2 linked regions of the Bombyx mori genome follow. The protein of the gene in region 1 purifies or fractionates together with the protein of each later gene. This does not show direct contact. Links are inferred from orthologs where the notes say so. Each region holds a gene or a part of one and is shown on either strand. Other genes may lie near its edges.

Region 1 (6,930 bases):
TGGGAATATGTGTGATATAAATAACACAGTTAATAAAATCGGTTGAGGGGGAACATTGGACGGTATCGTAAGCAAACTTTCAATTATTGAATTACTCTTAATGTTTAAAAAACGAATATTAAATATTAAGTAAATACTCGAATGTATATTTTATTTTTTTAATTTTACATAAGATTTATAATAAACGCCGCTCTCTTTGTAGGCGTATAAAGAAAGAAAATAAACATTCGCCCTCTGACTCTGCTTTCGTGATACTTGAACACACCCTGACCAGACATATAGCCAAAAAAATAATTAAACATTACTAAAAAGATTCATTAAAAAACCATATTATTATATTAGACTATATTATTAGACCTTCATGTTAGCTGCTGTATTTGTTTTAGAATCTTTTAAGTAAATATTTTCGTACAGAGACTGCAGATAACGATATAAGTGGAAATCTCATCTAAAATCACGGATGTTTAGATGACAAGTTGTTTCTGTATTTCAATGAGTATGAATTCCAATGAAGTTTGGTTTTTAAATAAGAAAACAAACTTGTCATATTTCGGAAACTAATGCCTTTAGGGATTATCTAGAATTTTGGAGTGATTTATTTCGATCTCATGTCTTGATGTTGGCGGGGTTACTTAATTTTCCCTGTATGAACTCACAAGAGTTTCTACCATCAGTAATTATGCAAATTATAATTTTGCAGATTAGATGTTTATTACATGATGATATTCCTTCACTGTGGAAGTCAATCGAGAACATTTGCTAAGAAAGTATTTAATTAGAAAAATTGGTACTTGCCAGCGGGATTCGAGCACCGGCGCATCGTTACATACGAATGCACTGGACGTCTAATCCTTTAGGTCGCTAGTGTTGTCTAGATTGGAGCTCGATAGTGTTGTCTAGATTGGAGCTCGCTAGTGTTGTCTAGATTGGAGCTCGCTAGTGTTGTCTAGATTGGACGTAACTAGAGACGTACCTAAGATGTCTGAGATCGCTCTTGTTGCCGACCAGCATGATGAGGATGTTCTGGTCGGCGTGGTCGCGCAGCTCGCGCAGCCACCGCTCCACGTTCTCGTACGACAGGTGCTTGGCGATATCGTACACGAGCAGCGCGCCCACCGCGCCGCGGTAGTACGCCGACGTGATGGCGCGGTACCGCTCCTGCCCGGCCGTGTCCCATATCTGAGCTTTTATGGTCTTACCGTCGACCTGGTGGACAACAACAAGATATAGCCTTCGATTTTGAAGTCGTCGTGGCCTAAAGGATAAGACGTCCGGTGCATTCGTGTTGAGCGATGCACCGGTGTTCGAATCTCGCAGGCGGGTACCAATTTTTCTAATGAAATACGTACTTAACACATGTTCACGATTGACTTCCACAGTGAAGGAATAACATCGTGTAATAAAAATCAAACCCGCAAAATTGTAATTTGCGTAATTAATTGTGGTAGGACCAATTGTGAGTCCGCGCGGGTGGGTACCACCACCCTGCCTATCTCTGCCGTGAGGCAGGAATGTGTTTCGGTTTGAAGAGTGGGGCAGCCGTTGTAACTATACTTGAGACCTTAGAACTTATATCTCAAGGTGGGTGGCGCATTTACGCTGTGGATGTCTATGGGCTCCAGTAACCACATAACACCAGGTGGGCTGTGAGCTCGTCCACCCTTCTAAGCAATAAAAAAAAAAGCTTAGTTCATTGGTCCCCGTGGGCTTTAATAAATTATTTCCTTGCCAACACGATTCAGGATTTTAAATAAAGGCTCACTTACAACTATAAATTCGAATTTACAACTCAACATTGTTCCCTTGGCCAGTAGGAAGAATCAAAATATGATATTTTTATTTATTATTCCTTAGATGTATTATGTGATTAAAAAGTCTCGATTAAATTGTGTCATAGTTGTCTCATATTTTAACTTGGAATAGCAGCAGAAAATAGACAGGATGGTTCTACCACCACTTGACAGACCTGAGAATTGAATATGAGTGGAAATGTTGAGTTTCACAAAAACTACTTCACAAAGCTGTCCAATCTGTGAACATACCACAATTTATCTATGCTCCAATCCAATAAGATGTATAATATTTATGTAAAAGGAAATCTCCATTTTTAAAACACCCACAAAATTGGTTGTAAAAAAAAATTATTAAAATATTTTTGAAATGGTCATACAGAAAAGGGATAGGGGACGAGAATATCTTATGATCTCTCTCACATGCTCACAAAATAATGAGTTCATATAAATCATTTTGTACAGCTTTTCTCATGTTTGTGATTCATAATATTGATAATATTGACATTCTTTGACACCTACAATTTGAGATGGAAACCGGAACTTCCATAAATAAATAACAAAAATTAAAATTAACCAACATCTTTTCTATCATTTAAACTAACAGAATTGCAATTGGTACACAAGTAGAATAAAATCTTGTTTTTTTTTAAGCCTTTCAAAGTTTTAAGAAATATTTACTTGACAGTGGGACAGAAGCTAAATAGTGAAAACATTGTAGGTTTAAGAATTTATATTGTTTGTTTAACAATTTGTTTGTGTTTCCCGAGCGCTATGACATGTCCTTCTTCAAACGAGGCTTGTGGAGAGTATTAAGCGGTAGGCAGCGGCTTGGCTCTGCCCCTGGCATTGCTGAAGTCTATGGGCGACGGTAACCACTCACCATCAGGTGGGCCGTATGCCCGTCTGCCTACAAAGGCAATAAAAAAAAAATAAAAAAAAAAAAATTTAAAGTTTATACAGAAAACATAAATAGTCTGAAAACTAACACAAAGGTCTGAGAGTCTCTTAATTTGTCCATATACTTCTATGACATCTCATTTTTTTAAACCAGTCCAACAAAATTTTACTACATTTTTCATGACTAATATAAATATGTGTGTATTGGAAACAATTTGACAAAAAGGGAAACTGTTACATACAATGAACTAAGTGAAAATATGATTTAAAATTACTATTACAACAGTGATTTTTTGTTTTATTTGTAGCAGGGTAAGCAGCTGTATATACAATGACTATTGAAATTATTCTAAATAAAGATGACTCATTTCAACTATGTACTGTTATATTTGAATAAATTTAAAGGTTTTTGTTAATGAATTACAAGGTTTACTGATTAAAGATAAGACAAGCAATTTTAATTTGAAGATCACTAAAAATATATTTGTCATACATACTTAATACTGACTATAAGAGGGCGCATATTGTGAAAATATGTTTTGCTGAAAGAATTCACACTATTGAAACGATAGGTACTTACACTTATATCTGTGAATATATTGATATATTATGTGAATTTGAGAACAACATCCATTTATAAAATATGAATAATGTAATTTTGTAGTACATTTTAAACAAAATAGGTTTACTTTTGTTGGTGTTTGAGATATTAGACATCGTTTTTAAACTATTCACATTAAAAGTTTAGTTGCCGCCCCTATTTTTATTTCATAACAGATATAATTAATGGCTCAATTTTTGAACAATTACATTATTTAATGGAATTTGATACTCACCTCTATACTTCTTGTTGCAAATTCCACACCTATGGTAGATTTAGATTCTAAATTGAATTCATTTCTAGTGAAACGCGACAGAAGACTGCTTTTACCCACACCAGAATCTCCAATGAGTACAACTAAAATTAAAATAAAGTTACTTATTTACTAAACTCAAGGTGATTATCGCGAGTCGCGATCCTGATGATCATAAGCTATAATATCGTGTTTACTATTTTATTTTACTATTAAAGACAATTCGTTATAGGTTAGTGGTTATAAAATACTATATTTTACTAAATTATTGTTAACATTATCGAAACATAGAACAATCATTTTCTTTATTAGACTACAAAAGAGGCATACATGAGTCATGAGAACGGGAAATTACAAAAAAATCGATCGAGTCATACAATCAGCTGATGTTAAAATACAATATTATTTTTGGTCTGAGATTGAAATTATATTTGGTTTGATGCATACATTTTGATTCTAATATAGTACTGAGAATTAAAACACAAAACAAAGGAGAAATCTAAATAAGACATTTTTTCTACGTCACTATAGTATTACAAACAATGGGATTCATCATTTATAAGTTATAAAATAATAGTTCCGTTGACTGCGAAAATTAATTAAAAGAAACAGGCGAGTAAAAGTCTTACCTTTGAACAAATAATCATATTCATCCTCTCTTGTGCCCATTTTGGTTTATCCGGAGCTCTTTAGTCGACGTCAAAAATCGGTCAGTTTCGAGACGTCAAGATGACCGTAAATAAAAATAATATTGGACACAAATATCACAGATTTATAAAACGATGCACAGTTCTTTTAACATCACTTTTTAATTGTGATTATTTTGATTGAAAGCGCTATCATGTACCTATCGAAATAATAAAATTCTAAATTGTTGTAGGGACAAAATGGCGGATTGTTTTACGCCCCTCGGGTACGTTCGATTTCCGAACAGGTCCCAAAAGTGTAAAAGTTAATTTTTTGAAAATGTTTACTGCCAAAAGTTTCATCCATATATTTTATTTTTAAATTGTTACACTACTAGCATATCCATTCTTTTTTTAACGAAAATTCGATAAATATTAAATTTAATTGAAATTTCATGTAATAAATTTTCGAACGTAAATCAGTTGTGAGAATTCTATTCTGACATAACTCGGATCAGCTGTCAGGTGTCAAAATTTTGACATCTTGACCGTTTTTTAAGGAATTTAATGACCTGGTACTAAGACCTTTAAGTCATGTCTTATTTTAATTTAAATATATTCTTATCTTTATGAAAAATGATTATATGGGGTGAAATGAAATGAAGATGATTAATTTGAGACATTAATCAACTGGGATGAAATGAAATGAAATGAGATGATATGGGATGAAATATAATCTTAGTAAAATGGTGGTCATTTACTAAGATTTTTTCAGTGGACTTTTTGGAGGATCCCGAGAAGTTGCGTCCAGCGGTTTTGTTTCATTTTCCCATATTTGTGCACTTTCACAGATACTAAACAGTTAATAAACCACCGTTATTACACATTTAAACCTGAAGAAACACTAAATAGACAAAATAAAACAAATCACACAACTTCACTCCTCGCGTTCCCGATGACACAGTCAATATTTAAGACATATTTACTGGTGGTAGGACCTTTTGAGAGTCTGCGCGGGTAGGTACCACCACCCTGTTTATTTCTGCCGTGAAACAGTAATGCGTTTCGGTTTGAAGGGTGGGGCAGCCGTTGTAACTACATATACTTGAGACCTTCGAACTTATATCTCAAGGTGGATGGCGCATTTACGTTGTAGATGTCTATGGGCTCCAGTAACCACTTAACACCATGTGAGCTGTGAGCTCGTCCATATATCTAAGCAATAAAAAAAAATCCATGCCTATCTTGGTCTATCTGGTATGTTTTTCGAGTGCATAACTTAGTAAAGCCAAAGGATGTAATAAGTACTCTGTAATGGTATCGTTTGCAATTTTTTTTATTTGTTCATTCAATATCACATACACATGAATACCGAACACGAACATTGTCCTGGAATGCAAACCGTTGACCGTAGACCCGTGGACGAAGACAGTTTTTTTTAATGTTATCAGCCCTCCCGACAACGCTGCTAATATCTAGTCACGCATACTTAAGGCGTGCTAATTAACTCCATTCTCGCGATTAAATTTTTTGGCCAGCCCTTAAGTACCGTAGACTTTGAAGGCTAAGTGTTAGGGGTTAAAGTATGAAATTGCCGATTTGAACTGAAAATTTGAAATTCGTTTTTTTTCAACATAATATATGTTTAGTCAAAATATCTATCATTATTATCAATACATTGCTGCCATCTAATAGGAAGGTCATTTATGCCATTGCGATATAACTCTGCTGATCTAGATTCTACAAACTGTGTGAAAGCATTTTGTACTGCCTCCTGGAAAGAAAACTTTTTATCACGTAGAAAATTGTCCAAATCACGATAAAAATGGTAGTCCGTTGGAGCAAGGTCTAGCGAATATGGAGAGTGACGAATGGTTTTTAATTGCATGTAGAGTTAAAACAGTTTCTCGTGCTGTATGAGGTCTCGCGTTATCATGGAGCAATAATAGTGAAGATCAATTCATGAGTCATGGATGTTTCACTGCAAGTTTTGCTGGAGTTCGGCACAGTAAACATCCGCCGTTATTGTTTGACCAGATCAGAGAAAGCTATAGTGAATAACACCCTGCTGAGACCACCAAACAGTTACCATTACCTTTTTATTGGTAAGCTTTGCTTTAGGACACTGTTGCGGCGTTTGACCTGGGGTCAACCATAACATTTTTTCGCTTAAGGTTATCGTAAAGAATTCACTTTCATCACATGTCACAATTCGATCCAATATTCCTTTATTTCTGCAACGATTCAACAGGGTAACACAAGTTTCAACACACGTTTCTTTCTGCAGATCAGTAAAATCATGAGGCACCCACTTTTCATATTTTATATATTATTGATTTGACGCAAATGAGTCAATATTGTTGATAAGGTAACGCTAAACCATGCCGCTAATTCCTGGGTAGTTTGGCTTCATTTGGCACCATCTCTTTCGATTCATTGTTATTCACATGTGTGAGCGGTCTTCCACGTGGTTCGTTCTTCAAATCAAAATTTCCATCACGAAATCTTTTAAACAAAAATCGCACGATGCGTTGATTAGCAGTTCCCTCTCCAAACGCAACATTGATATTGCGAGCTGTTTCTGCAGCGTAAGCAGCGTTAGTTCCGCGTCGTATTAAAAAATCACTCGAATTTTCGAAATATCCATCATTCTGATCTAAGCTGAATAAAAAAAACGACTGAAAATCTATACTTAATCGAATGTTGCATATTTTTAAAAGAAGAACCTCATACCACCATTTGAAAAAAGATTCACTCAAA
Region 2 (6,183 bases), on another chromosome or scaffold:
ATAAAAAAACGCGATCGAGAACGTTAAAAAACTCTCACTAAGCAAGTCTACTAAGCCTCAAATAAGTCTTTGCCAAAACTACCCACCTCCCCTAAAAAACAGTTCCTACCTTCAATAGCTAACGTGTAGTTTTCTTTGACGCTCTTTAGTTCGTTGGCCAATTTCTCGCTCTCTTCTTCCCAAGTCAGTCTGTCCTTGTTATATTGATCCTCTATCCCTTTCTTCGCTTGGGCGAGTCGCGTATTGGCGTCCCTTTCCGACTGCAGTTCCGCTCGCAGCGCGTTTATAATGCTGTCCTTGTCGTCGATGCCGACTTTTAACGTTTTCACTTCGATCTCAACCAGTTTGAGTAGTTCCAGTTTTGCCCTGATAATAAATATATATATAACGGCCGTCTGGTGTAGTGGTAAGTGACATGGTCACTACACAAGGGGGTCGCTGGTTCGAATCCCGCCAAGGGAAGATATTTGTATGATAAATATAAAATGTATTTTCCAGGGTTATGGATGTATATTAAATATGTATATGTATGTGTATAATAAAAATCTTACATTTATATCCGTTATCTGGTACCTGTAACACAAATTCTTTACGAATTTATCACGGGACCAGTTAACGTGGCGTGATTATTAGTAAATATTTATTATTTATTTATATTGTGTGAGAGACCGGTTTTGTTATTCTGGATTCGTCCGTGGCCTTTTGAGTAAGACGTCCGGTGTGCTCGTATGTCATACGTACTCGACAAAGACTCATGAACGACTTCACGATGAAGGAATTTACTTTGAGACATGAGGTTGATGTAGCTACGGTAGTTTTTTAAAATTTGAACGAAGGAAGTCTGTATCCGGGACACTGCGGCGACCCCCGCGCCCCTCACACCCCGCCACTAACTTGAGGTCCGCGACCTGCGCGGTGAGCGGCTCGATCAGCTTGTTCTTCTCCATGGCGCCGCCGAGCCGCTGCTGCAGGCTGATGATCTTGTTCTCCAGGCCCTTGTTGAGGGTCTTCACGTGGTCGAGGCTGCGGGCCTCGATGCGGAGCCGCTTGTACTGGCGACGCGCTAGGAAACGACGGATCTGGAACCGTTCAACGAGATGTACTTGTCTGGAGACCAGAACGTGGATGTCAGGGACCGGAGCCATACGGTAAACATTCACGGTCGAGATTTTTTTTCTCCTACCCATTCTGCTAACTTTGTTGCTAACACTGGCCCTAGCAAGAGCCGTGCTTCGCAGAATCTACCATCGGATCAGAAATATGACCCACTGAGAAGATCCGGCGAGAAACTCTGTGGGCTGTGTCTGTGGGTTAGTTTACTCGCCGAGCCCTTCGTCGCAAGCGACGGGTTCGACGAGGACGGTGACCGGTTCTTGTGGTACCTAAAAGCACCGTTACTGGATCGGGAGAATCCGTAATGACGTGTTTGGACATTCGAATATATTCTATGATCATTTTTATTTATTTTTAAAGCATTTTGTTGCTAGCTACATGAGTTCATTGTAGGGGTCCTGTGCAACTGGACACTACAGCACGCGTGTCGTGACGTCACTGTGCACAATGATCTCACCGCTGCCTGCGCGACTATGATCTGTCTCTTCATCTTCTTCACCCTCTGTCTAGCCAAGAAGCCGCGAGCGTATCTCTGTATCGTGACGACCTGGAATCGAACAATGCTATAGTCGATATAGTGCGTACATAAGTACACGCATAGTTTTTTTTAATACGTAATTTTTATTTGTAGCAACCTTTATAAAAATTCGAACGAAGCAAATAATAAAGGTTGATTGTTAAAATTAAAATTGTTAGTTTATTTTCGGAAGTGGCGGCGGCTAGCATTGCTGACGTCCATGAGCGACGGTGACCGTTTATCATCAGGGGGACCGTACGCTCATCTGCCTAAAAAGGCAAAAAAATATATATGGTGAGTGGTTACCGTCGCCCATGGTCGTCAGTTATATCAGGGGCAGAGCCAAGTCGCTGCTTAACTTTTTTATTTTTTCCTACCTAAGCTGAGAGCTTAGGCTATTTCAGCATAACTTTAGCTAGTAGGTGAGCTCACGGGACTCAAACCCGACGACGTTGCTAACACGAACCCTAGCAAGAGCAGTGCTTCGCAGAGTCTACCACAACATATAAGTTTATGGGCATTCGCTACAAGATGTCGCTAGTTTCCATACAAAAAATTTATTAATTAAGTCTTAAAGTATCGCAGTTTCAGGGTCCTGGCCCGGAGACCTTTCCAGTTTCACCAGGACAGGTGGGCCAGCAAAGACTCAGCCAAGAGGGGTGGGATTTGCTAACAGCTGCCCGAGCGCCTCCTAGACCAAGTAAAGAAAAGCTGCTTCGCGAATGAATCTACTACCGGATCGGAAACGCGACCCACTGAGGAGATCTTTTTCTTTTTATTATCATTTCAGGCTGACGAGCATACGGCCCACCTGAGAGTAAGTGGTCACCGTCGCTCATGGACGTCAGCAATGCCAGGGGCAGAGCCAAGCCGCTGCCTACCAAATCCGGCAAGAGACTCAGCGGGCTGTATCTGTGGGTTCGATGCTTACTAGTTAAAGTCGGATAAAACTGTCGGATGACTCACGGCTCTTAGTTTCCTGCGGTCCCGGTACAGTCTCCTGGCGAGGTACCCGCGGGCGCGCGCCTGCAGCGCCAGCGCCAGGCCCCGCAGCCGGCGGTAGTTGCGCCGCGCCAGCCACCCGCGCACGTGCCGCTGGAGGGTCACGGCAGCGCGGGCGCGGCGTAGCTCCTGCGCTTTGCTGTCACACGATAAATAAATATTTTTATTGAATTATTTGTGGAAGTCCAGAGAAGGTTTAAAAGGTAGATAAACATGAAAATGCTCAGAATTAAATAAAAATAACAATTTTGTTTGTCCTTTGATGTTTCCCCCGTCGGACGTATTCCTTTTGTTTGTTTTAAGTTTATTTTATACAAAATTTTAGGTCTTTTAATTATCAATTGAGGAACTACGAAGTCTGCCGGGTCAGCTAGTAATTAAATAAATAAAAGAGCTTCTTGAAGTGAAACTTCTTCAAAATCGTTGTGATTTCAAACTCGATGAAACGAAAAAATAAGTCCATAGAGACACAAACACATAAATGTATAGGATTCAGCCGGCGAGAGAATGAGATAGAACACATTATACGTTATGATTTTTTTAATACAGCGCCATCTATAAGATGTTTTTAATACTAACGTGTGTACGAAACCTCTTGTAGTGAATTTTAATTTAGGATTATACGTGAAGTTAAAATATCAATTCACAGAATACGTTAGCTCATACTGTAAAAGCGATTTGCAATTAATTACTTCTATTGACAAAATTTTACATAGACTTAGACATGTCATTGTACTTTAATTTTTGAAGGTTTCACTTCTGCCACGTGTGAATTGCACGCATGTTTTTTTTTTTATTGCTTAGACTGGTGGACGAACTTACAGCCAACCTGATGTTAAGTGGTTACAGGAGCCCATAGACATCTACAACGTAAATGCGCCACCCACCTTGAGATATAAGTTCTAAGGTCTCAGTATAGTTACATGCCGACTATAGTCGCAATGCAAGTTTCCGAAAAAATAGGCAGCAATAGTCAGGGTGGTCTGATAGTAAGTCACCAGTAAGCCCTCCACGTTCGTTGAGACACTCACCGCCTGGCCAGGTAGCCCCGGGAGCGGGCCTGGATGCCGACCACGGTCCTCATGACCCGGAGGTACTTCCGACGGGCCACGAACGTGCGCACGCAGCTCTGCACGCGCACGCAGTACTCGCGCTGTATGTCCGCGCGGACCTTCTCTAAGTATGCGACCTGCTCGTGTCAAACAGATCAAAACATCAACTCGTAAATTCATTGTAATAGTTGTATGGATAGTATAGAGGCCGTAAGCACTGTTGTACAATGACGTCATAGTACACGACAAAGAAAAATCAAATTTTGTTTGCGAATAGATTTCGACGCTTGAAAGGCAAACGTGACTAAGCGACAATGCGTGAACTTTACAGTAGACTAATTTAAAGTTCAAATACATGAAAAAACCTATTTTAGCGAATCGAGCTGTAGGATCTTCTTCGGTAGGATTTTAATAGACCTAGAAATATATATTTTTTGCGCATCGAATATTGTTATTGCCTATCATTTATGTACAAAGCAGTTATTGTCGCTTAATCACGTTTGCCTTTCAAGCGTCGATTTGTAATTATTTGTCTATAATGTTAGGGAACTGGAAAAAAACATTGTTTAGCATAATATCCACGAGTCGAACGTAGTTTCTTATACAAGCCGACATAAAAATAAGCATAGGTCTTTTTTTATAGACAGCGGCCCGCTTGTCACAAATTACATTCACTCCAAGCCCACGTTAGTTCCAGCATCACACGCTAACGCTGGACCGACTATGATACAACTTGTATTGTGTTTAAGAGATTGTGATTATAATAAAACTTTTATCGTGTTTAAGAGATTCTCATATCGCTACGGTCACGTAAAGAACAGTGTTTCCACAGTGAGGGGAAATTCCCCATTTGTGGGGAAATTAGGGTCCATAGGGGGGGAGAAAAGCGGGAAGACATTAAAAGGGGAAATTGCAGGAAATCATGGGAAAATGGCATTTAGTGTAAATAATATTATCACAGTATAGTATCACTAGAGGCGTGGACAGTCTATACAAGAAAATCGATATAGACCTTTTTTTTAGTTACTACACTAGGGCCAAAAGTAAAAACTACAGCAGAAAAATTTTTGAGGGGAAAAAAGCCATGAGATTGAGAATTTTGAATTGAGACGTCGGGAAAGGAAATCTTTAAAGTGGAAACACTGATGAAGACAACTTAATTGGCGGGTACACGAGGAGTGAAGTTGTGTGATTTGTTTTATTTTGTCTGTTTAGTGTTTCTTCAGGTTTAAATGTGTAATAATGGTGGTTTATAAACTGTTTAGTATCTGTGAAAGTGCACAAATGTGGGAAAATGAAACACAGCCGCTGCACGTAACTTCTCGGGATTCTCCAAAAAGTCCACTGAAAAAATCTTAGTAAATGACCACCATTTTACTGAGAATATATTATGTCATCCCATATCATCTCATTTCATTTAATTTCATCCCAGTTGATTAATGTCTTAAATTAATTATCTTCATTTCATTTCATTTCATCATTTTTCATAAAAATAATAATATAAATTGAAATAGGACATGACTTAAAGGTCTTAGTTACCGTGTCATACAAACCCTTAAAAAAAACTTAACTGAGCGAGTTTTTTTTTCTATCGTATAATGCTGAATAAAAACCCTGACACTGACCTGTCCCGCCCGGAAGAATATCTTCGTGGCACCGAACTGGTATTTGTCCGGATCCTTGAGGTGCTTGGAAAGAATTATGGAGCACGTCCCTTTGATGTTGGCGCGGTCGATGTCCTTGTGCCGACAGAGGAGGCGGTATCTGTTAATCGCGACAGGGGAATAAGGTCGGATATTAACGAGGCTGACTATTCAAATTGTAATTATAATTCGATCGATTGTAGACTATTATCGAGGGGTGAAAGGCTATTGGGATTGAGCAACATATCGCTTAACAGGCTTTGTAATTAAAGATGCGTTTTATTTGGTATCAGCATCAACAGTTCGATATTTTTAATTGAATTTCAATTAAGTTTATCTGACTCAAATAGCTGAAGAAGTTTATTCAAATTCAAAATCAAAATGACTTGTTTGCCAGAGACATGGTACATCAATAATGGTATTATAAAATTTTAATATTCCAACACGTTCTTAGTTGAATAAATAGTGTGCAATTATAAAATAAATATAGAATTAATTTGCAGATTACTAACATGTCAATTTATAATATAATAATAATAATATGCCTTTTATTCCATACAAATAGTAGGTTGCATACATATTTTAAATATAATATAAAAAAAAAATATAAAGAAGAAAAGAGAAGAAGAAAAAAAAGTACTGATGTTATTACACGTGTTTCACTTAATTTGCTTCCCTTCTCTCTCCCTTCCGTTTCGTTACAAAAGTATAAATCTAGATAACGTTTTTAAAAAAATATATAGAAGTTTGTTTGCATGGACCCCTCCTCAAGTGAAGGTGAAGGCCTCCTCTAAAGAATAACAGCTGTTTTATAATATACTGTATAATATGCTGTAACAATTTATAATATAACATT

The links. The genes of interacting proteins can lie anywhere in the genome.
Region 2: the proteins of Rab11 (region 1) and unconventional myosin-Va purify together in Drosophila melanogaster (affinity purification with western blotting; 4 studies listed by BioGRID, with this or other methods). This does not show direct contact. The link is inferred for Bombyx mori from reciprocal best matches to the Drosophila melanogaster genes Rab11 and didum.

What each region holds. Positions count from the first base shown.
Region 1 is NC_085112.1:15,247,957-15,254,886, reverse strand, and holds the start of Rab11 (ras-related GTP-binding protein Rab11), read right to left. Parts: upstream 4,291-6,930; 5' UTR 4,214-4,290; coding exon 4,174-4,213; intron 3,649-4,173; coding exon 3,527-3,648; intron 1,207-3,526; coding exon 974-1,206; intron 1-973.
Region 2 is NC_085108.1:6,149,636-6,155,818, reverse strand, and holds part of unconventional myosin-Va, read right to left. Parts: intron 5,449-6,183; coding exon 5,310-5,448; intron 3,822-5,309; coding exon 3,664-3,821; intron 2,772-3,663; coding exon 2,597-2,771; intron 1,661-2,596; coding exon 1,571-1,660; intron 1,080-1,570; coding exon 895-1,079; intron 367-894; coding exon 110-366; intron 1-109.